Alligator mississippiensis: one gene and its partners. The protein of the gene in region 1 interacts with the protein of each later gene in a biochemical or structural test. Links are inferred from orthologs where the notes say so. Each region holds a gene or a part of one and is shown in the gene's direction. Other genes may lie near its edges. The genes, in order: CRKL, BCAR1, MAP4K1 and DOK1.

Region 1 (7,369 bases):
CCAGTTTTCAGTTATTTTAATTCCTATGATTTCCTGAATATGTCAGCCTTGTGTTTTTACTTTTCAGGGAGTTCTGGGTGACAATGGCATAGTACAAACGTTTCTAGAAATCGGAAAACAAACCTGTGGAAGAGCTTAAATGTTCAGACCAATAAAGTATAAGTATTTTATTCTGGTCAGATCAAGTAATTAAACACTGAAAAGTTCATCTTACTGATATATTGGGAAGGTCAATAATTGAGTTTATTCAATTGTTTATCTAATTTCCTGTAATGTTGTCCCCAGAACAGTAATGATGTTCAATATGCAGAAGTCTCATCATTGAACCCATATATTCTTTTCTACTTATTTACTAAGGACATCTCAAAATGTCAGGAAATCCACTTCTGCTGCAATAACTGTAATGACAGCAAGAACATAAAGTCAGGCTTCAAGCTCTAAATGCTAAGGACAGGGCTTCACTTACCCCTAACTGCAGAGTGAAAATACAGAATTAGAGAGGTGATTGTTCCTATGCATTTACAATCCTGACACACAGCTCCATTTAGCACAAAGCACCTTTTAAACCCTTAGAAAATGTTACAGTTAAGAGAGCCCAAACCCAGGGTGTGCTACAATGTGCTTTCCTCAAAATGGAGGCAGTGGATTTAGAACAGGGATGATATAAAAGTAATAGTTTGAGATGGGAAAGAAGGGAGTCACTGAAGAGAGATTTGAAGGGGGCAGAACTGGGTATTGCTGTTGAAAAAAGGAAGACAATCTGGTTCAGATGCAGGAAATGGTATGACAGAATGCTTCAAGCCCAGAGTTGGATGAAAAGTATGAAGGCAGCAGTGAAGCGAGTGAAAAAAGCACAGATGTGGGTAAGAACCAGATCATATCTTGAAGGTGAGGATAAGGAGGTCAAACCTAATGCAGGAAGAGGAAGCCAATGACAAGGTTCAAGAAGTGAAGAGATGACTTAGTAAAAGCATTTTTAAAGATTGTGAGAAAAGCATGGTGCATACAGTAGTTGGGACCCTTGATATTACACAAGCTAAACTGCTTCTATGAAAACAATCTTTTCAGATTTCCTCATTCTATTTGCATTGCTATAACAAAAAGGTACTTGACATTTCTAAACTGTCTTTTAAATCAGAGAGGTACCAAGCCCACAGCCCACTGGTATTTGTACTGAAAGTATTGCCATAACCATCAGGGTGCAAAGGTCCAATGTTAAGATTCCCTATTATGTTCAAGTATGCAACATAACATTATACAGTACTTTGGCTGAAGCCATAGCTGTTTAACACAGTTTGCAGCCTGCTGTTTGGATTTTTGCTGGATTTGCACAAATTTTAGTGAACTTGTTTACTGAACTTTTTCAGGGTTTCACATTTGGAAGAGAAAAATGCTTATTTCTGCCTCCGCTTTTGTTCCAGAACTGCTTCTCCTGCCATTTCCCTTTTCCAAAACAACCCATCACCAAAAAATCCAACTTTCAAAATTGGTTTATCCGTTTTCATCATCTTTATTTTCAATCAAAGGATTTTGAATGTTCACTACCAAAACAAAATAAAGAATTCCATCCTCTCCTGTCCTGTTGTCACTCCCAGCTCACCGGTTATGTGATTGTCAGCAAGTCATGACTGGGTCTAGTTTAAACCAGGATCTAATTCAGCTACAGCTGTTTAACTAGAAACAGGAATTACTTCACAGAAGTCCAGCAGCCTGTGTGTATGCAGGAAGTAAAAAATGCAGGTTTGCAGTAGTCCCTTCTGGACTAGAATTTTTGGATCCTTCTCTGTCTAAGAGATGATGTTCTTTCATTCTCACTCAAGAAAGCAAGGTAGGAAGTAGTTCAGTTCCATACAGCACAAAATTCCAGATTGGTTCCCACGCTACCTATCCAGAGCAAAGATATTACAACTAGACCAACATATGTTTTCTAATAAAATATTGCTTACTCTTGACATTTTAGTTGCTTTACTAACTAAAGAGAGTCCAGACAAAACTGGAATAGAATCTTGAACTAGCTTATCACATCCCTTTGCTATGATCTGGTTTATTAGAAAGTGAAAGATGAATTAGTAAGAAATTAACACTAACTTCTTCACTGTTGTTTTTTAACTGTCCCTGATTCTGCCACTTAATCACTGTAGCCTTAGACATATCCACTCTCTCTACCTCAAGTTTTCCCTTTGGTAAAACCGAGATTATAATACTTGCCTACTTCAGTGATGAGGTTTAATTTCATAATGCTTGTAATAGAGTTGTGTGTATAATGCTTTTTATCAAGTATTTTAGAAGCACTAATACAGCAACAATGCTTTTAACTAAAATATTATAAAGTGAAAATGCTTTCTCAAGTTTCCTATTTCAGCCATAATTACACTGAGACATGACTGAAGCCCATGTTTCAATTGGTGAAAGGCAATTTTATGAATTTCACAATCTAATCAACTAGAGTTGTGAACTCTTAATAGGAGTTGAACCCAAGGCAAAATTATTAGGCATCTTTTCCAAGAGAGCTATGGCATAGATATGAAGCTGTAATGATATGAAGCTGTAATTGGTATTCTTCACACCTGGGCCTAATCAATGTAGTTAGTACATATTACTGTAGGCTGTTACAGATGTCATTTTCCTCCTGCGAGATGACTGTATTTTAGTGGTTGACACGGTGATACCTGTACATGTAAAATTAGGGGGGGGGTCTTTGGGAGCCTTTTATACCAAGGCTGGTATGGATACTCTAGTTGAAATGAGGTTCTGGATTTGATGCAATTTCCACCTTACATGAATTAGACAGTTATGAAAGTTTCAGTAATAAGATTTGGATTCCTGCTGGACTATTTATGAGTTAACAGTTATACTGTAAGTAACTAGCATAATTTTACCTAATTTTGCCAGAAAAATTGTGACCCCTGCTATCAGCGTGGCTGTTGTGTGCAGCTGTTTCTTGGATAATTTAAGGTTTTAAAAATAAGTTCCTGTTTTGTTAAGTTTTTCTTTGTTAGGCCCATGTTAAAGTGCTATAAAATTACAGCCCCTATTTTCCAACTTACAATATTTAGGCTTTACACCAGTTGCCATAGAAAGAGCAAAATACGTTGGGAAACTTGCCAAACATAGGAGCACAATCAGCAGCAACAGGGTACAAGGGAAAGAAAGATGCGGTATTCAAGCTGGAACGAACCCTGAACAGGGTCCAATTAGTAACGAAAGGTTATTTGTCTTCAGTCCAGTTCTTAATGCGAAGAGCCGTTTGACATTTCAGTGCCGTGTTTCTTTGCGGCCAGGGCGCCAACCCCACAAGTTGAAGGAAACGTGAGTCGGACTCCAGAAAAATCACTACACAGCCCCCAAATTCAGGGTGGGCTTCCTGGTCTGGCGGTTTCGAACCCACCGAGGCATGTGGGTGCGGCGACGTTCTGGGCCACGACAAAGCAGAGGGCAGCGACTGGGCCTCTCGCTGCCCGGGAGGGCGCAAGCTACCAGCTTTTACCACGGCTGGTTTCTCGTGCCCAGGCTCCAGGCCCCATTGCCGCGCGCTCATGCTACGTGACCCTAACAGCCGTGGGTCCGCCAGCGTCCGCCACCCAACCCTGGGCCCCCAGGCGATGTGGGGGTAGGGTGGCCATCACAGACGACAGTCCGGTTGTCCTCTATTGCTACAGAACCGGATGCCTTTATGTCTCCTCTCTTTTTCTCTTGAAGCGAAGGCCTAAAAACAGGGCACATAAAGGCATCGGGTTTCGTATCAACATAGGAGCAGACAACCGGAGAGTCCTCTACGATGGCCGCCCTACGGACACCCCGTCCCTCCCTCCCCGCGCAGCTCCTGGGGCCGGCCCCTCCTAGGGTATCGGCAACCCTCCCCGGGAGGCCGGTCCGCCCCAGCCCCCACGAGTGCTGCCGGCCCGGGAAAGCGGACACCCAGCCAGAGGGTCCGCGGACAAGATGGCCGCCGGCCGGGGCTGCCCCGCCACATGGCCCCGGGCCGCGCCCGGCCGCGCCGCGCCCTGCGGGGGGAGGGGGGCGCGGGGCGCGGGCCGCAGCGCCTCACGGTGTCCGGCGAGGGGGATCCGGCCCGGCCTCCGCACCCCGCGCTTGGCGCGGGGAGGGGCCGGGGGCCGCGGAGGGCGCGTGCGCGGGGCGGGGCAGCGCCTCCTCCCCCCGGCCACGAAAGGCGCCATTTTGGCGCTTGGCTCCGGGGACAGCGAGCGCCGGGATAAAGCAGCAGCCCGCCCCGGAGCCGGCACCAGCAGCGCCCTTCGGCCCGGCCCGGCTCTCGGCGCGCGCAGCAGCCGGAGCGCGAGGCGGGAAGGGAGAGGAAGGGGCGGGAAGGGAGAGGAAGGGGAGGGGAGGATGCCGCGCACGCCCCGCCGCTAAGGGAGACGCAGGGGCCCACCCGCCGGCCCGCCCAGCCGCACTCGCCCCTCGGCCTGGCCTGTGAGTGCCGCCGCCTCCGCCATGTCGTCCGCCGCGCGCTTCGACTCGGCGGACCGCTCGAGCTGGTACGTGGGGCCCGTGTCGCGGGCTGAGGCGCAGACGCGGCTGCAGGGGCAGCGCCACGGCATGTTCCTGGTGCGGGACTCGTCCACCTGCCCCGGCGACTACGTGCTGTCCGTGTCCGAGAACTCGCGCGTCTCGCACTACATCATCAACTCGCTGCCCAACCGCCGCTTCAAGATCGGCGACCAGGAGTTCGAGCACCTGCCCGCGCTGCTCGACTTCTACAAGATCCACTACCTGGACACCACCACGCTCATCGAGCCCGCGCCCAGGTACGGACCCCCGCCCCGCCCCGCCCCGCATGGCCCCTCCGCGCCGCCGTCCAGGTGCGCCCAGGTGAGGCGGCGCCGCGCTGCCATGGGCCCGGCCCGGCCCGCTGCGGCCGCGGGGAGGGCGTGGCCGGCGCTGGAAGCGGGTCCGCCCGGGGCCTGGGTGCTGCCTCTTGCTCATGGGCCCGGCCCAGGCACCGCCGGCTTCCCCCTGCTGCGGCCCTCTCCTGCCTGTGCCTTTTGGGGCGGTTTTAAGCCCTGGCAGTGCGGTGGGCAGCCCTGCTTGACTCATCACATGATGTAATGACATTCATGACTGATCTGCTGTACTCGGGAAGGCGCATTTTACCAACTTACGTTTTAAAAACCCACTGGACTGCTGCATAAGTCGGATTCAACATTTTAATGTTTATGTTAATGAATGCCTTATCATTTATCGCCCCCCCAGGTGACTCTCCGCAGTCTCCTGGAGACTATATCTTAATTCCTGGAGCGTGCAAGGCAGTCCCGGAGGGTTGGCAACCCTACCTGGCAGAGCTGCTCTAGGTGGTGGCTTCATGGTCCTTGGCCTGTTTTTTAGGACTGTATTTTCCATGCGTTTAAAGCCGAGCCTCCCTATGGTGGGGGGTTGAAGGACCTGCCGTTGTCCATCTGACCCTGTGGTGTGGAAGGGCTCTGTATCTGAACATGTGCATCCCCCTGCCTGCGGCTTAGGGCTGGAAAAGTTTGATTTCTTGTATGGGGAGGGTGGCGTTTGCAACTGGTGCTGACCCATGTTGATGTGACCCCTGCCCCAGCTGTGCTAGTGTGACTGGTCAGCTAGTGCTTGCCCTGATGTGTGAGGCAGTTCCCAGCTCTTTGCATCCAGTACAGACCCGTACAGCTGAATCATAAGGGAACATAGAAGCAAATATTGATAGGCCAAGTGCTGCTTTTTTAAAATGGGGTTTTGGCTTCCTTCCTCTATTTGAGCAGTTTAAAATTCTCACTGCTTGCATCTGCTCATGACTTCTACTCCTTCCTATTCACCTAAATTGATTCTTGATCAGATTTGGAGCCAGATTTAGCTTTGCCTTTAATTACTAAGGGTCAAATATTCTTGTCCAAAAGAATAAGTGCCTGAAGAAGGAGGAAAGCTTGGAGCTGTCAAGAAAAGCTTCTTGGTCGAGATAGCAAGCAAGGAAGCAGTTCTCCAAGGAATGTGGTAGAAATGTCATTCCTTAAAACTTTGAAAAAATGGTGTATAGGTAACGATTGTGCTTTGGCAGGAAGATGCCTGGGCTGGACGTTCACTGATGCTCCTACACAGCTGCAGGAGCAGTTGGATGGAGATGTCCAGCATTTCTGTACAAGTTTGTCAGTGGAGGAATGTGGCTCGTTGGTGACGCTCCTTTGCAGTCTTTACTTGCTTTCAGTTGCTGGTTGGGTGCTGTTCTGTGACTGGGTTTTCTTTTAACCCATTTGCTATTTTGATCCTATTAGACTTGATCCAGACAAATGTGCATCTGGTATCTGTTTGGAGGTCTCAAATTATGCATGGGTGGATTTGCTTCAATTATATTAATATGCAGGCAAAAGTACCATAGAAATAAATCCCTCTTCCTACAAAAAGAGTTGGGTTGTCAGTTATGTTGAACTGCTGAGCTTCCTGTAACTATTGCAATACTGCAGTTTGGACTCATTACAAGAAAAATCATACTGTACCCAAAGCTGTCTAAATCTTTACTATGAATTTTTGTACTAAAGATTAGAAATTCAGTGACTTCATTAGGGTGTAAAGTCTTCCTAAAAAGAGGCCACATTCTGGAAGGAAGAGGTCAAGATGTAATATTAAAGAATACGTTATCCACTGGCTCTTCTCTTCAGTGAAGTTACTCCCTCCAAGACCTTGGTTGGGTAGAAAAGGGCATTATGCATAACGCAGAACTGCTTGTTTGTATAGTGAGTGAACATTTGATGTACAGTAGCATTTTTCTTTACGAGAGCTGACACTATACTTCAGTAAACATTTCAGAATCATCTATATATCGGTAACCTTATTTTGAATTGGCCAAGAGTTTGTCCATCATGGCAACAGCCTCCATGCCCTCTTTTGGTTGCTCTTCACTTTCAGCCAGCATTAAAATTGTCCGCTATGTAATATATTTTTCATGGTAACTAGATTTGTACTTTTTATGCGAGTATAAGAGAAGTGAAGATGCAAATACAAAGGCACTAAAGTACCAGCCACAGGGTTTCTTACCATGTTGTTTAACTCTCACTGGTAAATTCTGTCTCATTTACATTTGTACTTCCCAAGTAATTACCGCAAGTCATGTTGGACTAGTGGTGGGCAAAGTACTGAAGAGGCATTTTGGTGAGTTGTAATTGTGAATTATTCTCAGAAAAAGTGAATATGAAGATGGATAGTAAGTGAATGAATGTGCTGTAAATCGGGGGTGGAGGATATGTCCAAAATATGGACTATGGTCAAAATCCAGCCCACAGAGCCGTATTATCCAGCCCCTGATGCTGCCCATGGATCTCAGTCACCCACAGGCAGCACGTCGGGTATTGCAGGATGACCCTGCGTGCTGCATACTGTGCTCACTCCAGATCTGGAA
Region 2 (7,642 bases), about 22 Mb from region 1:
GTCTAACTTTGATCCCCAGGAAGAGATAACATAACATGAAAAAAAATGATTTATAAGTACCTAAGCAGGGGTTGGCTGGTATTAAATGATTTCCTGAACAGCCAGCACAGGCCAGTCCTGATACACATAGGGATTGAAATTCCAACAATAATGTCCATTCCCATGCTACAATATAACTTCAGAAAGGCTAATTGGGAACTTTTTACTGAGGATATTGAGCGCACTGTTTCTCAGATTCCACCAAAACCTGAAAATTGTGAGTACTTTACCAAGCTTGTGCTCAAAGTGGCCTGATCATACATCCCCAAGCATTACTGGGTGGAGTACACTCCATGGTGGCCTGAACAATGCAAATCTCTGTTCCAGGAATTCTCGGACTCAGGAAACCCGGAATGTGGCAAAGCTCTCTTGAACTTGCTGAATGAATCCAGAAGACAGATGGACCAAAGCAATGGAGTCAATAGACTTCACACACTCAAGCCATAAAGCTTGGAGCCTCCTGAGACACCAGAAGCAGCACCACAACCAACAAATAAGATCATCAATATATCCGTAAATGCCATCCCCTCAAAAAAGCTGCTGGATAGAAAGACCATTACAGATCACCAGACTAGACAGCAAGTAAGGGCTTGACTCCATCAATCAATGACGTAGTGTAGAGTACAACAAAAACAGCCCAGTCATCTCCCTTCACTGAAGAAGAGGTCATTGAAGCCCTAAGAGCTACCAGATCATGGAAGGCTGCAGGATTAGATGGGATCTACCCCGAGTTCTTGAAACATCTTGGCCAAAAAGGAGGCTGTTGGTTGGCCAGACTCTTCTCCAACATAATAGCCACAAGCAAAATTCCCAAGATACAGTAACAAGCAAAGGTCATTGCTATTCCAAAACCCAGAAAATCAACCATGGACCCAAAAAACTTCCGCCCTATATCCCTGCTTTGTACAATATATAAACTTCTTGAAAAAATGCTACTGGTTTACATGTTTTTCATCTTCAAGGTTATACCAGCTGAACTGGTTGACTTTCACCCTGGACACAGCACTAGCAACCAATTGCTGGCACTCATTACATATATTGAAGCCAGGTACCAGTGCAAAGAGATCACGGGAGCTGCCTTCATTGATTTATCAGCAGCTTATGGCAAGATGGCCTCCTCCTGAAGGCGTCAAGGGTCATCAGGTGCCAGCAGGTACTCTGTCTTTTATCAACACTCCTGTCTAACCAGCAATATCACGTCCATCTAGGGAGCACTGTCAAAAGAACCTGTCTACTAAATAGTGGTCTCCCACAAGGATCAGAGCTTGCACCAGAACTTTTTAATGTATACATAAGTGATCTTCCTGTTACCACCAGCTGGAAATTCGGCTATGCTGATGACCTGCTGCTTGCTACTCAAAGAAGGACTCAGGCTGAAGTCCAGGCAGATCTTTGCAAAGACCTCAAATTGCTTGAAGAATATTGCGCATGTTGGAGACTCCACCCAAATCCAAGGAAAACTGTCGTCATGTCATTTCATCTAAACAATGCCCACACTGACCAGAAACTTGCCATCACTTTCTGTGGAGAAGAGGTTAAGCATGAGAAGTTCCCAAAATACCTTAACTTTCAATTGGAGCCTCACCTTTTGTGAACTTCTATGGAATGTTGCTAAAAAAGTGAAAGCCATGAGTTAAGCTTGTGCATAAACTGGCCGGAACGACGTGGGGAGCAAATACAACCATGCTTCAAATGGGCACTCTGGCACTTGTTTTCTTTGCAGCAGAATAAACAAAAGTGTGCACACAAAAATTGTTGATACACAGTTAAATGCAGCTATGAGGATTATATCAGGAATGCTAAAAAGTATGCCATTGCCATGGCTTCCAGTCCTAGCAAACATTGCTTCCCCACAGTTCCGCCACAATGCCACATGCATGAGGGAATACCATAAGGCCACCGGTAACCCAAACTTCCTAATCAACAAGGACATCACTATGCCACCACCAGATAGGCTCAAATCTAGAAAACCCTTCTGAGAAATAGAAATACACCAAGCTCTATAATGATAACAAGAGCACCAAAGAACAATGAAGGGAAGCCTGGGTAAATACCAGCTTGCCACAGAAAAACATCATCTGTGATCCTACACTTCCCCAGTCAGAATTTGACCTACTAAGAAAGATTTGGTCCTCCCTGAATAACATCTGGACACTTCATGGAAAACGTGGGCACCTACTCCATAAATGGAGAATCAAAGAGACTCCAAGTTGTTATTGTGGTGCAATTTTTCAGATGATGCAACGCATTGTGAATGATTGCCCAATTAGATCATTTAATGGAGATCTAAAATCAATCCATGCAACTACACCTGAAGCAGTTGAATGGTTATCAAATTTAGATATTAATCTTTGAATGTTGTAATCCTAAAATGTCATATGAAAAAAGAAGAAGGGGTTGGCAACCTTTTAGAGCAGCAGGCTACCCCTTGTAATCTGGCTGCTGCCACAGGGTGCCAATCCCTGCTCCCTTGTGCTATGGGTCTCTCTTCCCCTCTACGGGACTGTTGTTGTCTTTGCCACAAAGAGACTTCTATGTGGACTATATAAGGCTTTTCACACTGTTTCCTATGACATTCTCATAAGTAAGTTAAGGACAGATAACATAAATAAAACTCTTTAGGGTGGGCTCATAACCGGTTGGCTAATTATGCTTAAAGGGTAGTTATGGCTCCATGTCAATTGGGAAGAGTTATCACATGGGATTCTTCACCTTTTCTTCAGTCCACTATTAAATATATCTTCATCGATATCTTGGAGGATGGAACTGAATATGCAGTTAGTAAATCTGTGGGTGACACCAAGTTGTGTGATGTAGCAGACACTTTAGATGACAAGATTAGGATTCAAAATGACCTTTTGTATATTGGAGAAATGGTCTAAAATAAATAAGAGGAACTGTAGAAAGAACACGTGCAAAATACTACACTTAGGGCCCTGCTACATATTCAAGTTGAAGCTGGATAGAAACCAGCTATAGAGTTGCACCACATATTCAAGCGCTAACTTTATAGCTGGATAGTAATTTTTATCATGTGATAATTACTTTTGCATGCATAGCTGGTCTAAGTTTATTGCACAATTAACCAGTTAATTCTGTGACAATTACTTTGCACTAGTGGCCAATCTTACTTTGCACATGTGGCCTGTCAATATTTATTGTGTGATTAACCAGCTAATTGTATAATATACTAATGTGTAGCAGGGGCCCTAGGAAGAAACAATCAATGCACACAGGGAAAATGGAGAATGACTGGCAAGGCTGAAATACTGCAGAAAGGATGTAGAGATTATAGTAGACTGCAAGATGACTGTGAATCGGTGGTGTAATATTGTTGAGAAAAAAGCTAGTAACTTTTATTACTGTCACATGCAAGTCATGGAAAGTGAGTCTTCCACTCTATTCAGCACTCCAGGGATCTCACCTGATGTACTCTGTCCGGTTTTGGTCACCACCCGTTAAGAAAGATGTGAATGAATTTGAAAGATTCCAAAGGAGAGGCAAGAAAAGATTAGAGGTCTAAAAATGTGACATGAAAACAGTGTGGAAATTTGAGATAATTTATTCTAGGGATGAGAAGACAAAAAGAAAGATTGGATGACAGTCCTTCAGTACAATAAAAGGTTGCTCTGTAGGGCTTAAATATGAGATTCACGGTAGACAGAAGAACTTTCTAACTCTGAGTGGGGTTTGGCATTGAAACAGATTCCCTAGAGACAGGTCATCATGTCTCCATCACTAGAAGTTTTTTAATGCACATTAAACAAACATTCTTCGGGGATGGTAGAGACAGGGAGGATCCAGCCTTGAGTAGGAGTTTGGACAGTAGCTGATCTCCTGAGGTCCTTTACAACCCTGTTTTTCTGTGAATCTGTGACTATCCAAGCACACAGACAGCATATTCCACTCTGCCTTGCAAGGACCTTGCTGCCACACAAGCACACAACCTTCATTGTCACCTCTGTCACACGCACACACAGACTGCATAGCGCATGTCATATACATGTGCGCATGCAGACTGCAGTCCCCTCACACGTGTAACATGCGCATTGCACAGCCTGTCACACACATGTGCACACAGTCACACAGCCCTGCCACACACAAGTGCATGCACTTACTGCACGATTTAGTATACACATGTACACGTGCAGATGGCACGGCCCCTTCACACGCGCCACGTGTGCATACAGATTGCACAGCCCCGGCACACACGCGTGCACAGGCGGACTGCGCAGCCGTCCCACACACGCTCGCGTGCATGCACTACACAGCCCAGGACACGCGCGTGTGCACGTGCCAAGGGCAGCTCCGTCACGCCCATGCCTCCTCCACACGCCTGTGCACTAGCAGCACCACCCGTCCCACGCTTGTGCAAACAGAGACCACCAAACCTCATCACACGTGTGCGCAGCGCCTGGCCCGGCCCGGCCCGGCCCGGCCCCGCCCCGCCCCCGCGCACCGCAGCCAATGGGCGCGGGGAGGCGGGCACGGCGGGCGAGCTGCGCGGTGCCGGCCCGGCCCAGCCCGCCAGTCCCGGCGCCGCGCGGGGAGCGCTCGGCTGCGGCGGCTGCGGCTCCCGAGCTGAGCTGGGCGGGGCGGGCTGCGGTGGGGCCGCGCGGCCGGGGCGGGGACCGGGGCAGCCACCGCCACCGCGACCAACTTTCCTCCCGGCCGGGCGGGCCCTTCCCGGATCGGCGCCCGGCCCGGCCTGCGGGGAAGATGAACTACCTGGTGAGTGCCCCCCCACCCCCCCGGCTCTGCCCCCCGCGCTGTCCCGAGGACCTTCCTGGGGCGCCCCGGGCCGGGCGCAGACAATAGCGGGTCTCCGGGGTCGGCGGCGGCTGGAGCAGGCGGGAGGCCGCGGGTCCCGTGTGGACGGCCCGGGCGCTCCGGCTGCAGCAGGGCCGGGCTCCCCCGCCCGGGGGTGACAGCACGGGCCCCGCGCCGGCTGCCTCCCCGGCCTCGGCGCGGGCAGCCTCCCCCGGTGCCCCCCGCCGCACGCAGCCCGCGCTGGCCCCCGGCTTCGGCCTCCCGGCCGCGGCGGCTCCTAGGCAGCGGCGCGGGGATCTTCCCTGCAGGGGAGTGAAGGGCAGCTGCCGAGTCTGCCGTGCTGCCAGCGCAGGCTCCCTGGCTTATCCACTGGTTTATATTTGAATGTGAAGCTCTGGAGAAACGGCGCTGTGGTTGCAGCAAAGCTGAGGCAGAAAAGGACTAAACGCCCAGCGGTTTTGGGGACCTAAAGCTGTTGCAGTTCTGTAGCTGCTTAAGGACCTTTGAGTGACAAGTTTGCAGAATCGTAGCCCAGTTCTCGGAGGACAGATGTGCCTGGAGTAAAACCCACCAGTGGCGTCGGTGCTAATCGGGCACCTCAGCTAGTGGGAGGCTGGGGCCCAACTCCTTCTCCCCCGCATCAGGCAGACGCATGTTGCAGTTGCGTTCGTTTGGGGCCAGCAGAGTGCTGCACTGCTCTGTGCGTGGATGTTGGCAGCAAGGCATTCAGGGGCATGCTTGCTGCTGTTGTCCCTGCCGGGAGGCTGTGCAGAAAATAAGACTCCAGGCTCTCAATCTAACACCATATGTATGCACCTCCTAGGCATCTGGATGTGGTGGCTGGAGGGGGTAATTACCTGGATGAAGGAGAAGATTGAAGCCATGATGTGGAGAATTAGCTTGTTTTAAATCAGAGGCCTTGGGGTCTATTCCTCCCCCAGGTCGTCCTCCTCTTTTATGGTTGGACCCTTGCTTTCCCCCCCAGGTTAACTTCTCCATTTAGCCCCTTCGTGCCAGGTTCTTGCAGTGATTTACTGAGATGACAGTTGCCATCTTGGCCTGCAAAAGCTTGACAAGCAACTTCCCAGACCTGCTCTGACCAGTAACACATACTCAGAAGGTTACACAGCCAGTTCATACCTGCATGTCCCCCATGTCCTTGCAAGCAGTTTTGCTACCCAAAGTCATGCAAGAAGCCATTGGCAAAGAGGCCAACTTCCAGGGCCTGCCCTAACTCCCAAGCAGCAATTTTCTTACCACAACCTTGACCCCATCTGAGAATGAGACTTGCTGCAATTAGAACAGGGGACAATATGTGCGGTTTCCTTCTCCCACCCTGCTGGGATATTTCTGTTTCCTGGAGGAACCTTGCCCATCTTCTTTTCCTGCTTCCCACCATCCACAGGATGATATCATTGAGCTACAGCTGCCCTGTGGCAGTCACCAAAGCAAGGAGGAGTTTCGTGCAGGCATTCCCATGCCCTCTTGCTGATCCCAGGTGCAAGTGACTATGCTTAGCAGCACATGGGTCTGGATATCTGGGCCCACAGGGCTGCTAGGCTCTCTTTCCAGCCTCTAGTTCCTCTCCTTCCATGATGGGGCAGTGGTCAGAGACTGTAGCATAACTAGAGGCAAGCTTGCTAACAGGATTGCTGGCTCAGGGCCAGTCTCCTTTTTAAATCGCCCTGTGTTTTTCATGGTTAAGTGACAGCTTGGAGGTGAGACCAGTTCTGTTCAGAATTATCCACTGTTCAAATGGTGATAGGGTGAAGGGGAATGGAAATAAAATGAACCCAAGGCCAGAGCCTAGGATCAGGTATCATGACATTTGGGAGTCAAGGGCCAGCAGTGGAACAGGCCAGGCCAGGGCTTGGGTCAGAGGCAGAGGTTGGAAGTCTGGGCACTAGGAGAGTTTTATTATCCAAACTGTACTGTGAAAGCTGAAACACCATAAAGTGGGCTGAGTGGCAGTCTGCTTGATGCCAGGCAAAAGTCCCATGCAAGGTGATGCCACTGTGTTGCCCTCCTTAAGGTGGTATTTGCCATTGCTTCTCCACACTCTTCTATAATTTGATGGTTTTAGAAGGCGGCTGTTGTAAAACAGGGAGGGGAGGGGGAGCTGGGAGTCATTGGCACATCCAGTGGTGCGTGTGAGAGCATGAACGTCCTCTCAGTGCACGTCAGCAAGCCGGCTGGCTCCAGCAGCAGTGTAGAGTACAACGTTAATGATTCACTAGGAGATAATCAGCAATTGCCAGGCCTGGCAAATCTTGCTGTGTGAGTACAGTATAGGGCTGGGGGAAGGGAGAGATTTTTTCATGTGTGATTACAACATACAGTGCCAATGGGGCAGCTTGAGGAAAGGATCATTTCTGGCATTAAAAACCTCCTGAAACATTGCTTCAGGGTGCAAGAGAGCCAGCATAAGGGCAGTTGGCTTGCCAGGAGCTTGCAAATCACTTTTCTCCTTCTGTCCATTGGAAATTCTCGTGTTGGTGCAGCACCAGATTCATACCCCTTGTCATGGTGCTCCTGGGTGACCAGTCAGGCCATCTTTGCAAACCACAGGACCCTGGAAGTGGAGCACTGGTTTTCAACTTTGTTAGACTTGGAAAATGCCAGCTCTTAGCTGTCTCTCTTTTTTTTGACTACAGAAAAATAATAGAGCAGTTCTTCTGTTGCAAAGCACTCAGAAAGAGCACAGCAGGTCGGAATGTTTTCGGCACTATGAATTCCTATTTGAAGTCACTAGGTTTATCTTGTGTAGGTGTTTGCACAGCTAACATGGCTGATAGTGTGGGCACTTCCTGGCACCCTGAAAAGGATCTCATGG
Region 3 (7,339 bases), on another chromosome or scaffold:
AATCGTATCAGCATTTTTCTTCTCTCCCGCCACCCCCCCTCCCAGCATTTGTTTTTCTCTCTGCTCCACAAAGGAGCAGGGGTTATGCTCTCCCGCTTCCTGCCTGCGAGATGCTGAACATTCCTGCGATGTATATATTTAGCCACTGGCTGGAAGCCACTGTTTATAATGAGGGGGCTCCCAGGATGCAACAAAAGGGTGTGAGGCACTTCTAATCCCCACCCCACCTGCACCAGAGGTGGTAAAATGGAAAGGCAAGGTCTGCCCAAAGTGCTGGCCTGAATGACAGCAGCTCAGTAAGGAGTTGGGGTGCAGGAGACGGGGTTGAGGGGCCGCACACTGCTCTGGGTTCAGAAGCCCCAACCTAGAGCAAACATCCCCAAAAAAGGGAGGCAAGCAGCAGGCAGCTCAGCACCACAGGGTTTTCCCCCAGTTTTCTACCATGCAGAACCACATAGAGACCCTCAGGGTCTCCCAGGTAGCTCAAGGGCCAGTGGGATGGAGGCCAGCTCTGCCACAGCCTGCTGAGGGCACTGAAAGAGCCAGAGACATGCATGGCAGCTGCAACTCAGCACAGAGAGAACCCGATGCCGCAAAGCAAAGATGTGGCGGCTCCCAGGCAAAGAGCAACAGTGTAGGCCTCTTCCCCTCTCCCCAGCACAGGGCACAGAGCTGCTCTCGTGGGGCCTTGAGGAAGAATACCCTGCCTGCAAAAGGATCACCTAACCACCCCACAAAGTTGGTCTGATGAGAGATCCCCCACAAATATCCATGCCTGGTACACAATTCCTGGCCAGCAGCAAGATCCAGGTCCATGCAGGAGCGGTGCTGTGAATCCCAGGGTGCCCATTTCTGACTCAGCCATGGAACCCAGAAGCCCTGCTTTCCCTTAAGGCCTTTGAATAGCAATTCTCAGGCAGAGACTCCCTCCAGGGTCCCCGTACTGGGCAGCTGCTGCCCCAAAGAGGCCTCAGGGGGCAACCCCCAGAGCAGCACCATGACCACAGGCCGGCTGCGGTGGCTCAGGCCCTCCCCACAAGGGGAAGCATGATCAGGTCAGCAACAGGCTGGTTCTTATTTATTGGCCACCTACCACCACCTGGCGGTCAGAAGAGTAATGACAGCAGGACCAGCTGCCAGGAGTCCTACTTAGGCTTATTAGTGTGGGGCTGGTTACCTCACCCCAGGAGTCCCGGGTTCTTTCCCTAGCTGGGCAAAGTGTTCGTGCTCCGCGGCAGAAAGAGGAGGTCATTATTCCTCCAATTCGTGGCTGGGGGTGGGAGGGTGGACCCTCAATCCAGCCAGCAACTGTCCAGAGGAGAGAGTCTGTCTTGGGCAACATGCCAGTTCCAGCCCAACAGCACTCCCACCCCCCAGGAGCCTTACCCAGAGCTGGGGCTCCCCCATCCTCCCACCCCTGAGAGGAAACAAGAAAAGATCTCTCCAAACATTTATTGGCCAGGGCTGGATTAAAATTTAAAAAGGAATTAAATAAGAAATAGACCCAGAGCAGGTTCTCACAAGCAGCACAGATGGTAGTGGGCAACAGGGGCATCACAAGGAAGATGCCATGATGCTGGAGACACCTGAAAGAAGGGAGGACAAACAAATTAAACTCCAGAACAGTGACTCCATGTGCTCCAGTCCACAAGAATTCAGCCCAGGGAAGATGCCCATGGGCCAAGGCAGGACCTTGACCTCTGTGGACAACTCACTCCAGCCAGATCCACACCCCTGTCCCCATCCTCAGTACCAGTGGGGCCTCGGCGCTTACTGTCAAAGTCTATTTTCTCTACAATGTTCTTGGGTTTGACGCTCTCCTCCTGGTTGCAGATGAAGACCTTGCCAGGCTCAGTTTCTGTCCAGCCATATTTGCTCATCCAGACCTTGAGCTGGCTGTCTGTAGAGAAGCCAAGGGAATGAGCCAATGGTAGTTTGGCACAGGGAAGGCGAGGTACGAAGGCACATGTGTTTAAGCAGGGGGTGCCAAGACAGAGTAGATCTTCAAGGGAAGTGATAAAGCACCAAGTCTGCCCTAAGACTGCCAGTGGAGAGCAAGTAGGGTGACTAAGCTCAGCAGCGCATGCAATAAGGGCCCCAGGACCCCTGTAGCTGGGACAGCATTCCCAAAACCCAACCCAAACAGCCTGGAGTCACACCAGTAGCAGTACAGCTCACAGACTCCCTTGATCCACTTTGGATGTAGGGCGAGGGGCTCATTTCTGAGAGGGGTCTGGCTTCCCTTTGGGGAACTTACCTGAGAGGTCTCCCAGCATCTCCGCCAGCAACCACCGATCAACGTGCTGGTAGGTGATCCCCACCACGTGGCAGATGACTGTGGAAGGAACACGGACACTTGGTGCTACTGGCACATGTTCAGGCGTGCCCCAATCCCCCGATGCACAACAAGCTGTTGAACCCCTCTGCTGTGCCCTGCTGCCCCCACACGTGCTCCGGGGCTCAGCGGCTGCTGGCTCAAGGGAGGACAACACATTTCCAGGTCTCTATCGCCGTCCGGATGTGCCAGACACGAAGAGGATCCTTGCTGCAGGGAATTCACACTACTTGGCACAGGGGCAACGCGTAGGAGGTGCACCCCCCGCCCCCCTCCCGGTCAGGCTGCACTCCCCGTTTAGCCAGCGGGCAGGCAAGAGCACCAGTGCCTCCCCTACAAGTGCTGCCTGGGGAGCAGGACTGTCAGTAGCATGGCTGCTTTTATGATGAGAGTCAGGTCGCTTGTGAGGCACCCCCTGGTCGCTGACTGGTGTTGGGGGAAGGAGGAGCACGTGCTCCCGCTGACTCGAGACAGACACCCACAACTTGGCAGAGCACCGAGGGCAGCAAGGGACACAGCAGGAGCCTGTCACAGCCGGAGACGGGACCTGGACCTGAGTCTGAGTCTGCCCAAAGGGGATCGTGCAACAGAGCAGAGGGGACAGCAGCCACTCACATTTCCTAACAGAGTCCTCAAAGCCAGTGATCCCGTCCAGCAGCTCCATGTTCTCATCCAGGGCTTGCTGCAAAACAAAGGAAGAACCGTGCATTCGCGTCGGTTAGCAAACACCGAGACAGAGACGGACGCTTCCTGACCCGAGGCCACGAGCTCACAACGCAGCGGCTACAGGGGTGCCGCCAAGGAGGCACGGGGGCAGGGAGGGCGCACGCTCACGCTGCGGAGGCTCCCCGGGCTCAGGGCACCAGAAGGGCAGGACAACGCTCACCCAAAAGGCCTGGAAGTGGCAGGTCTCCAGCAGCTCCCCCAGGTAGAGGATCTGCCTGATCGGCCTCTCTTCTTGCTGCGACGAGCGGGTCAAGGGGGAAAACAGCAAACGCAGACCCCCGAGTTCACCCCCGGGCGGAGGAAGAAGCCGCAAGGCTCGAGGGAGGCCAAGTGTCACGCCCACAGCAGCAGGGAGACCCCTCCGAGCCCTCCCACGGCCAGCGGGCAGCCACACGCTGCTTCTGACCCGGGGAAATAAAAGGATACGTGAGCCTGGTCGATCATGCACTTGCAGAGGGTGAAGTCCGTGTGCGGGAGGTTGGTCAGCGCCTTGAGCAGGATCTGAGCGGTGACGGTGGTCTGGAAGAATGCTGGATTGAACTGGTACCTGAGGAGGAGGGTGCACGTGTTAGTATGGGGGGGGGATTCGCGTGGTGCCCCCCCGCCGCCCCCAAAAGCAGGGTGTGGCAGGGGAGACGACGCTCACAGCTTGAGCACGGCCAGGTTGGCCTCCAGGTCGTAGGCGTTCTCCTTGGCCTGCGTCTCCACGTAGCGCTCCAGCGTGGCCAGGTTCTCCGGGTTGTACCTGGGGCACAAGGCGGCAGCGGCTGAGCACGACTCCCCCCGCCCCGCCCCGCCCGCCGGCCCAGCCAGGCAGCTCTACCCCCACCCGCCCCGCCCCGCGCCGCCGCCGCCGCCTCACCGGTCGATGCCCTTGAGCAGCTTGCCCACGTTGGCCCGCATCTGCTCGAACAGCGCCATGGCGCGCGCGGCGGCAGCGGCTTCCGGGGCCGCGAGCGGGAGCAAAGCGGTGCCGGGCTCTTCCGGCCGCGGCAGCTTCCGCTTCCGGCGTCGGGCCTCGCCGGGCATGCTGGGGCGGGGAGGGCCGGCGTGACACGCGTGCGCACTAGGAGGGGCCGGGGAGGGAGGAAAGCCCCGCCCGCAGTGAAATACCCCGCTAGGCCCCGCCCCCTGGGCGGGCAGGCCACGCCCACGCTCCCCCGCCCGCTGCCGTCGCTAGGCAACACCCACCCTTAGCAACCAGACCCTCCCTCCCCTCCTAAGTGCTCCCGCCCACCCCAGATGCCCCTCCCCTCAAAAACTGCCCCCCTCCCCCAAGCGCCCCCCTTCCTCAGCCTGCCCCCCCACACCCCCAAGTGCCTCCTCCCCCCTCTCATGCCCCCCTCCCCCCAACCGCCCCCCTCCCTCAGCCTGCCCCCCCACACCCCCAAGTGCCTCCTCCCCCCTCTCATGCCCCCCTCCCCCCAACCGCCCCCCTCCCTCAGCCTGCCCCCCCACACCCCCAAGTGCCTCCTCCCCCCTCTCATGCCCCCCTCCCCCCAACCGCCCCCCTCCCTCAGCCTGCCCCCCCACACCCCCAAGTGCCCCCTCCCACCTCTCATGCCCCCCTCCCCCCAACCGCCCCCCTCCCTCAGCCTGCCCCCCCACACCCCCAAGTGCCTCCTCCCCCCTCTCATGCCCCCCTCCCCCCAACCGCCCCCCTCCCTCAGCCCCCCCCACACCACCAAGTGCCCCCTCCCACCTCTCATGCCCCCCTCCCCCCAACCGCCCCCCTCCCTCAGCCTGCCCCCCCACACCCCCTCAAGTGCCCCCTCCCACCCCAGATGCCCCTCCCCTCAAAAACTGACCCCAGTTGCCCCCTCCCCTCAGGGTGGCAGCCCCCCCTGGTGCCCCCTCCCCTCCAGGACTGATCCCCTCCACTCCCCCCCCCACCCCAGCAACAGCAGCAGAGAGCAGCGCTCCAGGTACGTTTTCATTGGCTCCTGCGAGGGATCCGGTGGTCCCAGCAGGGCGGGGCTCCCCTCCCATCTCGGGCGGGCCGTGGGGCTGGGGGTCCGGCAAAAAGGGAGCAGGGGTGGGGGGGGCTAGGAGTCAGAGCTCAGCCCTGCCGAGCTGCCGCTCGAAGCCCCCCCTCTTTGTGCCTCAGTTTGCCCCTTCCGCCGACTGGGCGCAACGATCCCAGGATCAATTAATAAATAAACGCTGGACTCAATTAATAAACGCCCCTCCCTCCCTGCCACTGCCTTGCTGCCGGTGTGGCTGGGTGGCGGGCGCCGGGTCCCTGCCCCCCCCCACGCCGACAGGGCTGGGGGGGGCCGCTCGGCCGTGACATCCTGCCCCCGAGCGGGGACAGAGCAGGTGATGGCAGGGCGTCTCCTTGTTTCCCCGCAGGCGCCGCGAGGTGTCACAGCCGCGCCGGGCGCCACACGCGTGCTGCTCGCGCACACGGACGGGCACGAGGGCCAACGCCAGCCGCTCCCGCACCTGGGGCCGTCGGGGAGGCCCTGCGGAGCGGCCTCCCGGGGCCACGGCGCTGCAGGGCTCCCACGTGCTGTCTAGGGGGCCCCCTGGGCTCGCCGCTGCGCCCGGCTGCTCAAATCAGGAAATAAAAGCGAGCGAGCGAGCAAGCGTTATCAGCCCCTCCGATCACACACACGCGCACTCCTGGGTGCAGGGCGCCGCAGGCTGCACGCACGGGCGGGCGCCCAGACATGGATGCCCAGGACCGAGCCGCACTGGATATTTCCACCAGGAACCCCCAGGACGACTTCGAGCTGCTGCAGAGAGTTGGCGGCGGGACGTACGGGGAAGTGTACAAGGTAGGCCCGAGGATGCGTCCCGCTCCCTTGCCTGCATGCGGTGCCGAGCGTCGCATGGGTGGGGGACGAGTCTCCACTACCCTGCCGAGACCCCAGGGTTTTGGGGTGCTGGGGGAACACGTCACCCTTCGTGCCCACGTGGGGCGAGGGCAAGCGGTGCAGGGAGCTCCGGGAGCCACGGCGGCGAAAGCAGATGCAGGAGGGGAAAGGGCCGAGCGGGGCCAAGACCTGCACCTGCCCGGGACAGTGCTGGGGATGAAGGCGTCAGCAGGGCTGGCACCCCCTGCACCCCTGCCTGGGGCAGCCAGGCGTGTGGAGGTGCTTGCTGCCGGCTGTGGGTCGTGCTCGGGGCCCAGGGTGCTGCGGGCGTTGGACTCAGCCCCCTTGCACAGCCCTCGTGGTCCCTCGCCTGGGTTTGGAGGGGCAGAAGAGAAGGGCCCAGCTCGGGCCTTGCTGAAGGAAGTGCATTGGCACTGATTCCCTCCGTACCCCCGTGGGCGTAAATCAGCAGAAGCCCCCTGGAAACAGCGTGGGCGCGAGTAGGGCCCGATCCCTCGGCTGGGGTGGACTCTCGGAGTCAAGGGGACGGTGTCCCCAGGGCCCCGGCGGGTGGGAACGGATGTCCCTGTCACCTCCCCCCCCCCCGTGCACAGTCATCTTCACCGGAGGGAGTGGGTGTGAAATGCCACGAGCTCCCCACGCACCACAGCTCACACCCACTCGGCTCCCAGCCTGCCCCGCTGGAAACCGTGTCAAGGCAGCTGGGGGGCAGGGGTCAGGCTTCCCTGGGCCCAGCGCGGCTGGAGTCAGGCCGCTTGGCCCACAGCGTCGGGGACCCGCAGTGCCCCTCAAACATGGCGGCTTGGAGGGAGCAACATGGCAGCGGGCTGTGCGGGGCTCCTTTGCCCACTGCTGAGATGCGCCCAGCTCTGGGGTGGAGCAGGGAAGCTGTTCATTCAGCTGGTCTAGAAAGACAGCCACCTCTGGGCTGGGGCAGGGCAGCTGGGGCAGGGCAGCTGGTTGCACAGGGACCCCGAAATGCAGCTGGGTGCCTCTGCGGGGGAGATGCACAAGATCTGGGAAGGGAGGCAGCTTCAGAGGAGGGTTGAGAACAGTTTGGGGCGGCAGTGGGACAGGCGGGCACAGGCTGGGCACCGAGGTTTGCAGGCTGACGGGGCAGGGCCGTGGGAGGAGGGAGCCTGGTGCCTGCTGAGAAACCCCGGGGGCCTGCCGGTAGCACCACAGCCCCGGGTGCAGGTGCTCCCGCCTGCCTCCCAGCAGCTCCAGCACAGGGTCCGGTGCCCCAGCTGCCAGCAGAAATGCCCCAGGGGCTGGAGCCGGGGCTGAGCACCGGGACCACGGGTCTTTGCAAGACCGTCAGTGTCACAGGTGACATTGGCCTGTCCCTTGATGCCGGTGCCCCTCACTCCTGACCCCACACCGGTTCTAGCCCCAGCCCCACCACGACCCCCAGGCAGGGCATCCTCCCTCCAGTCCC
Region 4 (7,903 bases), on another chromosome or scaffold:
CTGCACAGAGCCTCTGAGCCCACAGCACCGGTCCAGCCCCACCGGGCTCAGGACCTGTGTGGGGATGACCCAGCGTGCCGGACACGATGACTGGCCATGCCAACCTGACTGGCGCTGCATGCGGTGCTGCACAGCTGGGCCTCGCCACACCATCCCGTCGCTGCCCGGGGCCGGTGCCAGCATCCATCTGCGGAGCCCGGGCAGACCCTCACTGAGATGTGCCCGCAGGCAGCAGCTGGGGACACGCTGGGGCCACAGCCCCACGCGCTGCCAGGCGGGAGCAGGGCAGGGGCAGGCTTGTGCCCATCCTGGCAGGGGCTCGGGTCGGCCAGGGGCCGTTCTCTGCCTGCCCTGACCAAGCGCAACCCAGCCGTGGTCCTGATCCAGAGGCTGCACTCGCCTCTGGCCTGTCTCCCTCCCTCCACTCCTGCTCCCATGTACCCGGCAGTGTCTGCAGCAACCCTGACTCCTTTCCAGAGGCACCGCTTGCCTGGGTGCAACCCCCAGCGCACACATGTGCACACTTATGTGTGTGTGCACACGAGGCAGGCCCAGCCAGCAGCCTGGGCCCTGGAGGAGGTATCTCTGGGCCCCAATGCCCCTCATGCTCGTTGCTCTGCCCACCTCCGCGGGCTGCTGTGGTGAGGACAGATCAGATCCTCGCTGGACAACACCAGCAGGAGCGCGTCCGTGGCATGGGACTCTCGCCGGCCAGCAAAGGCAGGCGGCGGGGCCCTCAGGTTGGGGGCCAGCTCCAGCGGTGGCTTTGCCCTGCCTTGGCCTCCGGGCACTGGCACAGCCCTCCCCACGTTGCCGTCAGGACGCCACGGACCCGCCCCTGTAGATTCAGCGCAAAACCTGGGGCCTGGCATGTGGCAGGTGGGCAGACCTGTCCCAGGGGCCCCCACCCCATCCCCCTGGAGCACCTGCTCTCCATGGCAGACCCCAGCCCGGGCTCAGCATCCGGCCATGGTCCCAGAGGTGAGGGGGGCTGGCCAGTACCCTCTGGCTTGGGCCTCCCAGGGAGGTGTTCATCGCCTGGTCACACCGTGGCTGCCATCCCCATGCCCCTCCCAAAGCTACTGCAGCACCCCCCTGCAGTGACCAGGATCACCCCATCTCTGGTGAGCAGCCCCCCACGTCTGCAGCGTGGCCGTCATCACCCCCCACAGCTGCAGCGCACCACCGCCCCCTGCTGAGCGCTGTGGGGACCAGGACCTGGGGCTGATGGTGCCATGGGACCCCGCTGCACCCACAGCTCTCGGGGGCCTGTGCTTGAGGGCGGCTTCCCCTCTCCAGTGAGGCCTGCCCTGGCCAGGCTCTCACCAGGCAGGACACCTGCCCCCCGCCCTGGGGGCTCCCGGCCCATCGAACCCCTCCGCAGCCCACCCTGATGTTGTGGGCCTCAGCCTCAACTCCATCAGCTCCCTTATGCTCCTGCTCCCATTGCCTCCTGCGCTCTCCACGGTGCCACGTGGTGGTGCCAACAGCCATCAGCCATGTGCCCCACCAGGGGTGGCTCCCGGCACGGCCTGTGTGGCACAGCGTGGCCCCTCCTGCTCCCTGCTGTCCCAGCACCAGAGACCCAGCAGGCTGAGCGACTAGTGACTCCACCGTGGCCATTCCTGTGTCCAGGGCCCAGCCCCGGGTGCTGGCACCAGGACTGCATGCTCCGGCAGAGGCCACGTCTGGCTGGGAACGTGGGCCAGCGACGAGGTTGGAGCCCTGAGTGTGGAGGCAGCATCTCACAGGTTTCCATGTTGGCGTGCTGCAGGGTCCAGGCCCAGTGGGGCTCCCAGCTCCACCACCCATGCTCACCCCGGGAAACCCTAGACCCTTGGCACCACCCGAGCCAGTGAAGGCACCATGGTGGGATGCTTCACTTCCGACATACGACTGAGCTGGATGCACACCTGGCCATCTGGCCCCCAAACTGCTCTGCCCCTCAGCCCACACTGTAAGGGACCCCCTTGGTTCTCCTGGGCCCAGGCCGGTGCCTTGCCCACACCCACGCAGCTGGGGGGAGCTGGGCACGGCTGCCCAGAGAGAGAGGATGTAGCGGGGGAACCAGGGAGGATTTGGAACGGAGCGCTGTGCCCTTTCGCCCAGTGCCACGCTTGTGGTGGCGAACCCCGGAGGGAGGGAGGGTGAATGGACACACGCAGCAACAGGTAGCTCGAGCACCCGTCAGAGCTGCACGGGAGATGGCATCTGCTGCTGCCGCTGCGCAGGCTCCTGCGGCCTCTCGACGGAGCGCACGGACCAGGGCCTCCACGCCGGCGCGCAGGGACTTGCCATTGGAAGAGAAGCTTTCTCTGCTCCATGGACCACGGTCTCCCATAGAAGCCTGCGAAGCGAGACAGAGGACAGGAGTTGGACGCGGGCACATGCAAGCCCCGCACACAGCTCCCCTGCCCGCGGCTGCTGTCCCGGCGCTGCCCCTCCCATGGCCGCAGGCTGTGCCGGAAGCCATCTGGTGAGGCACGTGGCTGGCGGCCGAGGGCACCACCACGTGGCACTGAGGAGCCCCGGGCATGGACACACGTGGCACCAGGACTGCTTTAAACCCAAAGTGGACAAGCCTGTTAATCTGGTTTAAATCCACCTGGAATGGTTCAAAAGCATGCCTGGAAAACCGAATGCTCTTCTGAACGGGTTCACTGCCAACTGGGTCCACGTGATGTGTGGACATCAGGTGTCACAGGACGTGGGTCCAGTCCGTCCTACAGGCATCCCATGTTGCATTGCTCCTCACTCCCACACACACACAGGTGCAACAGGCCACTGGTACACAGCAGAGCTCTGCGCCTGCCTCTCTGCTGCCCTTTAGTGGCACTTTGTGTGAATACGCTGCCTGGCCAAGCGACGCTCTTCCCAGCACCCAGCGGCATCCGCCCCCCGCGCATGCAGCCCCTTGCCCTGCGCCCACCAGGCCCCGGGAACCCCGGCACTGGGTCGGACACCACCCCTGCCCACCTCTTCAGGGGAGAAGGGGAAGCAAAGGGACAAGGCCCCGGGCCCAGCCCCGGTGTCAGCCACTGTCCCGTGTGCACCTGAAACCTGGCCCCTGCCGTGGCGTTAGGCAGGGACGGGTGCAGGGCTGCACCTTCGTTTCCTGCTCCACCCCCAGTGGAAACCCAGCCCGGGCTGAGACTTCACAGCTCACCATCATCTCCCTGCTAAACCCTTCGCCCCCCGGGTGCTAACCACCCTGTCTCCTTTCTAGCAGCCCTGGCGCCCCAGCAGCATAGTCTCTGCCGTTCCTGTGCGCAGCCCCGCCACTCTTTCTCACTCGCTCCAGCAAAGTCCTATTTGGTTTGGCTTTGCTCTCAAGCTGGATCGCGCAGCGCTGGGCCCGGCACGACAGCAAAGCGCTCTTGGTTAATGAGAAAGGCACGCGGCTCTGTGCAATGATGCATCTCGCACCCCCCACCCCACCTGCCAGGGGCTCGCGCCCCGTGCTCCCGGCGGGTGCTCTGGGGCACCGGGGACGGTGTCACGTAGGAGGGCGGGCTCCATGCCCAGGCAGACACGCGGGGGCGGCTGGGGTGTCGGCAGAGCGTGGCGCGGCTCTCCCGGGCTCCCTGCCAGCCTGTTTCGGAGGAGCTGGGTCTCCATGGCGACGGCTCCTTTCCTCCGGGAGCCTCCACCGGCCCCGAGCGCACCCGGGCCGCGGCCGCGGCCGCCCTGGACGCCGGGGCCGCCTCTCTGCTCCGCACGGGCGTGCACGTGGCTCACACTGACCCGGCGCCGCGAGGGCTCGGAGCCGGCCGCCACCGCTGACACCTGGCACGGCCGACGCCCCCCGCCCTGCGTCCTCCGGGGTGCTGTCAGCCCCTGCGCAGCCGTCCAAGGTCCGGCGCGGCTGGGCGCACGAGCCCCGGGCCCTCACCGGCGGTGGCAGGGGCTTGGGCCCAGGCCAGGCGCACAGCGGGGAAGGACGCGTGGGGCTCTCCAAGCCTGGATGGTCCCAGGCACCTTGCAACCATGCACCTGCACCAGCTGCCCTGGAGCCACGGGCCCGAGGAGAAGCCCCGGAGATCGCTCGCCCCCTTCCCGGACCGGGCCCTGCAGAGGCCTGCGTGTCCGCGCCCCCCCCCGCCCCGCCCCGCCCCGCCCACACGCGGCTTCTCCGGCCCCGCGCGGCTCCTGGGGCTGGTGCCCGGCCCGGCCCGGCCCGGCCCGAGACCTGCGCCCCGCAGCGCCCGTGCCACCGGGCCCAGGCCCTGCCGGGGGAGTCCGTGTCCCTCGCTCTCTGCGGCGGGATGGTCCGCGGCGGAGCCGGCGCTCTGCCAGAGTTTCCCCGGCCCGGCCCGGCCCGGCCCGGCCCCACGCGCCTTCCCGCCGCGGGGTCACGCAAGCCAGCGCCGGTTTGTCTGCGCGCCCGGCCCCGCGCCCGGCTCCAGCACACGCAGACACAGACGCCCCCGACACGGCGCCCGGCATCGCTCCGGGGTGCGGGGGCCGCGGCCGCCAGCGTCCTGCTGCTGCCGGGGGGGGGGGGGCTGCAGCGGGCCGGGCTGGGCCGGGGGGAGGGGAACCCCCCGTGCGCACCGGTCTGAGCAGCGGGATCCCCGCGTGCCTGCCTGCCCCAGCGCGGCGCGGCGGCGGCCCCCCCGGCCCGGCCCGGCTCGGCTCGGCCCGGCCTACCTTCCACCACCCCGCACAGCGGGCCCGGCCGCGCCGACATCCCCGCGCCGCGCCCGGCTGCGGGACCGGGACCGGGACCGGGACCGGGACCCGCCCGGGGGGGCGTGTGCGTGTGCAGCCCCCGTGGGAGCCCGGCGCAACAGGGCGGGCGTGGCCGTGCGCGTGTGCACGCCCCTCGCACGCGCGCGAGCCCAGGCCCCGCCCCCGACCGCCCCGCCCCGCCCCGTCCCGCCCAGGCCCCGCCCCGCCCCGAGGCGCGGCCCGGGAGCAGGAAGCGCGGCGCGGCGGCGGCGGCGGCGGCGTTGGGATGGACCCCCCGGCCAAGGAGGGGCAGCTCTACGTGCAGCACAGCCTCAAGTTCGGGGCCAAGGTCAGCGCCCCCCCCACACCCCCCGGGGTCGCGCCCGCGCCCGGCCCCGCCCCCCCACCGGACCGGGACCGGGGCCGGGGCCGGGGCCGGAGCCGGGGCCGGGGCCGGGCGCCCTCCTCCCGCCGCCCCCTTCCCGCCCGCGCTGGGCCGGGGGCTCCGCCACGTGTCCCGGGTGGGCCCCCCCCTGGCTTGGGGAAGCGGGTCCGGGCCGAGCGGAAGAGCCGTTTCCTCTTCCCGGCGCGGGCGGGGGGAGGCCGTGCGGGTCCCGGTGCAGGGTCCGGGTCTGAGCCTGAGCCTTGCGGTGTCGCGTGGCACAGCGCTGGAAGAAGAGCTGGTTCGTGCTGTACCCGGCCAGCCAGCACGGCGTGGCGCGCCTCGAGTTCTTCGACTGCAAGGACCCGGCGGCGCCGAGCGAGAAGCCGGGCACCAAGCGGCTGGACAAGAAGATCGTGCGTCTGGCCGACTGCGTGAGCGTGGCGCCCGCCAGCGAGAGCGGCCCCAAGGATGGCACGGCCACCTTCTGCCTGGAGACCAGCGACCGCAGCTACCTCTTCGCCGCCCAGAAGCAGCAGAGCGCCGAGTGGGTGGGGAAGCTGTGCGAGATCGCCTTCGGGGTGAGCACGGGGGGTGCCGGGCCCACGGCCACGTGGCCGCGCTGGGGCCAGCACTGCCACTGCTGCGCCCCTGCCCTTCCACGACAGCCGACCCGCCTGCCGCTGCCTGTGGCGCAGCATCATCCCACGTGGCTCCCGGCTCACGCTTTCAGTTCTGCTTGCGGTTGGTCCGGAGGCGCCCGCCCCCTCCTGCCAGGCTGGGGCATGGGGAGCGAGGAGGGCATCCCCGTCTGCCGGCAGCCCTCGCTCTGAGCTGGTCCCGGCCAGGCCCGTGGGGAGCCGGGGCCACGGCCCACCCATGCTCTCGGGGTGGGGGTGTGTGGGGGGCATGGGGAGCCCTGGAGCTGGCAGGCCCCTGGCGTCGGGTGCTGAGGTCCGTCTCGCTTGCTCGGCAGGGCAATGCGGGCGGCGAGGGCCGGCTGCCGGGCGGGCGCAGCGCGGAGGGCAGCGCCGCAGCGCCTGCCCTGGAGATGGCCGTGAATTCCATCTACTACTCACGGGACGAAGGTAGGGCTGGGCTGCTTGACAGGGTCCTGCGAGGGCAGAGCCCCCCAACCTGGGGCATCGCCCCCCGCCCTGGGCCGTGCCTGGGCTCAGGCCCCCGTGCCCGCCTCGGGGCATCCTTCGGACGCTGGCTGTGCCCCTCTGCGCAGCGCTGGGGTCGCCAGCCCTGCCAGGCCCCGTGACTGCCCCGGCTCCCCCTTTCACAGTGAACAGCTTCTGGGTGACAGTGCAGAGGACGGAGGCGGCCGAGCGCTGTGGGCTGTACGGGACCTACCAGCTGCGGGCAGAGCGCGACGGCCTGGCGCTCCGCGACCCCCAGACGAAGGAGACGCTCTACGTGTGGCCCTACCGGCTGCTCCGGAGATATGGGCGTGACAAGGTGGGTTGCGGGGCAAGGTTTGGGATACCCCGGAGTGAGAGAGGAGGTTAATAGACTGATGAACCAAGCCCACCGGGCCTGGCTACTCCTCTGCACTTGCCCCCTCAGTGTCCATCTCCTGGCCCGTGCTGCACATGCTTCCCTAACAAGGTGTTGCCAAGGCCTTGTGCCAGGGCCCCCGCCTGTCCACGTGACCCCTGCCATGTCCGCTGGCAGCGCACGGTCTCCTCACACCTGCTGCCCCCTCCATCATTCCCAGCTGTGGTGCAGCCAGACCCTGTGTGCTGCGTGGCCCTTTCCCACCCTATGGACCCTGACTGGGTGGGAGGAAGTGGTCTGGGAGGGAAGCTGTTTATAGCAGCAGCAGTGATGCAGCCTGTCTGCTTCCTCCTGCCTTGGCCGGAACCAGGCAGAGGCGGGTCTGCGCCCCGGCGAGGGGCTGGAGCAGCTGGCGGAGGGTGGGCGGGGGCCGAGCTGCCTTGCAGGCACCTGTGTGCACTCAGGCCTCTCTGTGGGTGGGCGGCTTGGTGCTGCCCCTCTGCAGGTGGCTCTGCTGGGCGCCAGGGGTCAGCCGGCAGCAGAGCGGGACTCTGACCTGAGCTGACCTGCCCGGCAGGTGATGTTCTCCTTTGAAGCTGGGCGGCGCTGCAGCTCCGGCCCCGGGAACTTCACTTTCGAGACCAAGCAGGGGAACGAGATCTTCCGTCTGGTGGAGGCGTCCATCCGGGAGCAGAAGACGCTGGCGGAGGAGCACCGGCAGAGCTGCGACTCGCTGGATGCGGACTGCCCCAGTGTCATGCAGATCCGCAGCACCCTGGCCGACTCGCTCAGCCTCGACCTCCCAGCCGAGGGCGACAGCCCTGCAGGCCCCAAGGCCGGGCTGGCTCCCCGGCTCAGCGCCGCTCCAGAGGAGAGGGACGCCCTGAGCCTGCTGAAGACCCGGAGCCTCCCGGAGCCCCCGATGCCGCAGAGCAAGCCTGCGCCTACCAGCACACCCCCGCGCTCCCCGCTGCCCAAGGTGCCCCGGCCTGTGCTGCCCTCCGAGGACATGTCCAGCCTGTACTCGGAGCCCCTGGACTCGGTGAAGGGCCCGCGGCTCTGGCTGGACCCACTGTACTCAGACCCCATTGACAGCAAACTGGGGGCTGTGGGTAGCGCGCCGGGGCCGGGGCCAGGCTCAGGGCTAGGGCCGGCCCCACGCTGCAAGGAGCACATCTATGACGAACCCGAGGGGCGGGCGCCACGACCTCTGCCCGACACCATCTGCATCTACGATGAGGCACGGCTGCTGGGCGAGGCCTGGCGCACGCAGGGCCTGGACGACCGGGATGGCTACGAGTTCCCCTACAACCCCAACTCCGACTACTCGGTGCCGCCCATCCAGCC

What was found.
Region 2: the proteins of CRKL (region 1) and BCAR1 interact in a test that uses a peptide from one of them, tested with the Homo sapiens proteins (2 studies listed by BioGRID, with this or other methods). The link is inferred for Alligator mississippiensis from reciprocal best matches to the Homo sapiens genes CRKL and BCAR1.
Region 3: the proteins of CRKL (region 1) and MAP4K1 form a complex in vitro, tested with the Homo sapiens proteins (2 studies listed by BioGRID). The link is inferred for Alligator mississippiensis from reciprocal best matches to the Homo sapiens genes CRKL and MAP4K1.
Region 4: the proteins of CRKL (region 1) and DOK1 form a complex in vitro, tested with the Homo sapiens proteins (2 studies listed by BioGRID, with this or other methods). The link is inferred for Alligator mississippiensis from reciprocal best matches to the Homo sapiens genes CRKL and DOK1.

Annotation. Positions count from the first base shown.
Region 1 is NC_081833.1:18,949,711-18,957,079, reverse strand, and holds the start of CRKL (crk-like protein), read left to right. Parts: upstream 1-4,354; 5' UTR 4,355-4,455; coding exon 4,456-4,769; intron 4,770-7,369. UniProt on the Homo sapiens protein: May mediate the transduction of intracellular signals.
Region 2 is NC_081833.1:41,203,369-41,211,010, reverse strand, and holds the start of BCAR1 (breast cancer anti-estrogen resistance protein 1), read left to right. Parts: upstream 1-4,636; 5' UTR 4,637-4,758; coding exon 4,759-4,770; intron 4,771-7,642. UniProt on the Homo sapiens protein: Docking protein which plays a central coordinating role for tyrosine kinase-based signaling related to cell adhesion. Implicated in induction of cell migration and cell branching. Involved in the BCAR3-mediated inhibition of TGFB signaling.
Region 3 is NC_081838.1:1,988,785-1,996,123, reverse strand, and holds the start of MAP4K1 (mitogen-activated protein kinase kinase kinase kinase 1), read left to right. Parts: upstream 1-4,328; 5' UTR 4,329-4,986; intron 4,987-5,413; 5' UTR 5,414-5,733; coding exon 5,734-5,841; intron 5,842-7,339. Other genes in the region: EIF3K (eukaryotic translation initiation factor 3 subunit K), read right to left, coding at 1,555-1,586, 1,775-1,900, 2,258-2,335, 2,951-3,017, 3,222-3,296, 3,488-3,608, 3,708-3,806, 3,924-3,982. UniProt on the Homo sapiens protein: Serine/threonine-protein kinase, which plays a role in the response to environmental stress. Appears to act upstream of the JUN N-terminal pathway.
Region 4 is NC_081825.1:325,303-333,205, reverse strand, and holds the start of DOK1 (docking protein 1), read left to right. Parts: upstream 1-4,891; 5' UTR 4,892-4,957; coding exon 4,958-5,020; intron 5,021-5,337; coding exon 5,338-5,634; intron 5,635-6,029; coding exon 6,030-6,141; intron 6,142-6,344; coding exon 6,345-6,517; intron 6,518-7,133; coding exon 7,134-7,903. Other genes in the region: protein O-GlcNAcase, read right to left, coding at 625-872. UniProt on the Homo sapiens protein: DOK proteins are enzymatically inert adaptor or scaffolding proteins. They provide a docking platform for the assembly of multimolecular signaling complexes. DOK1 appears to be a negative regulator of the insulin signaling pathway.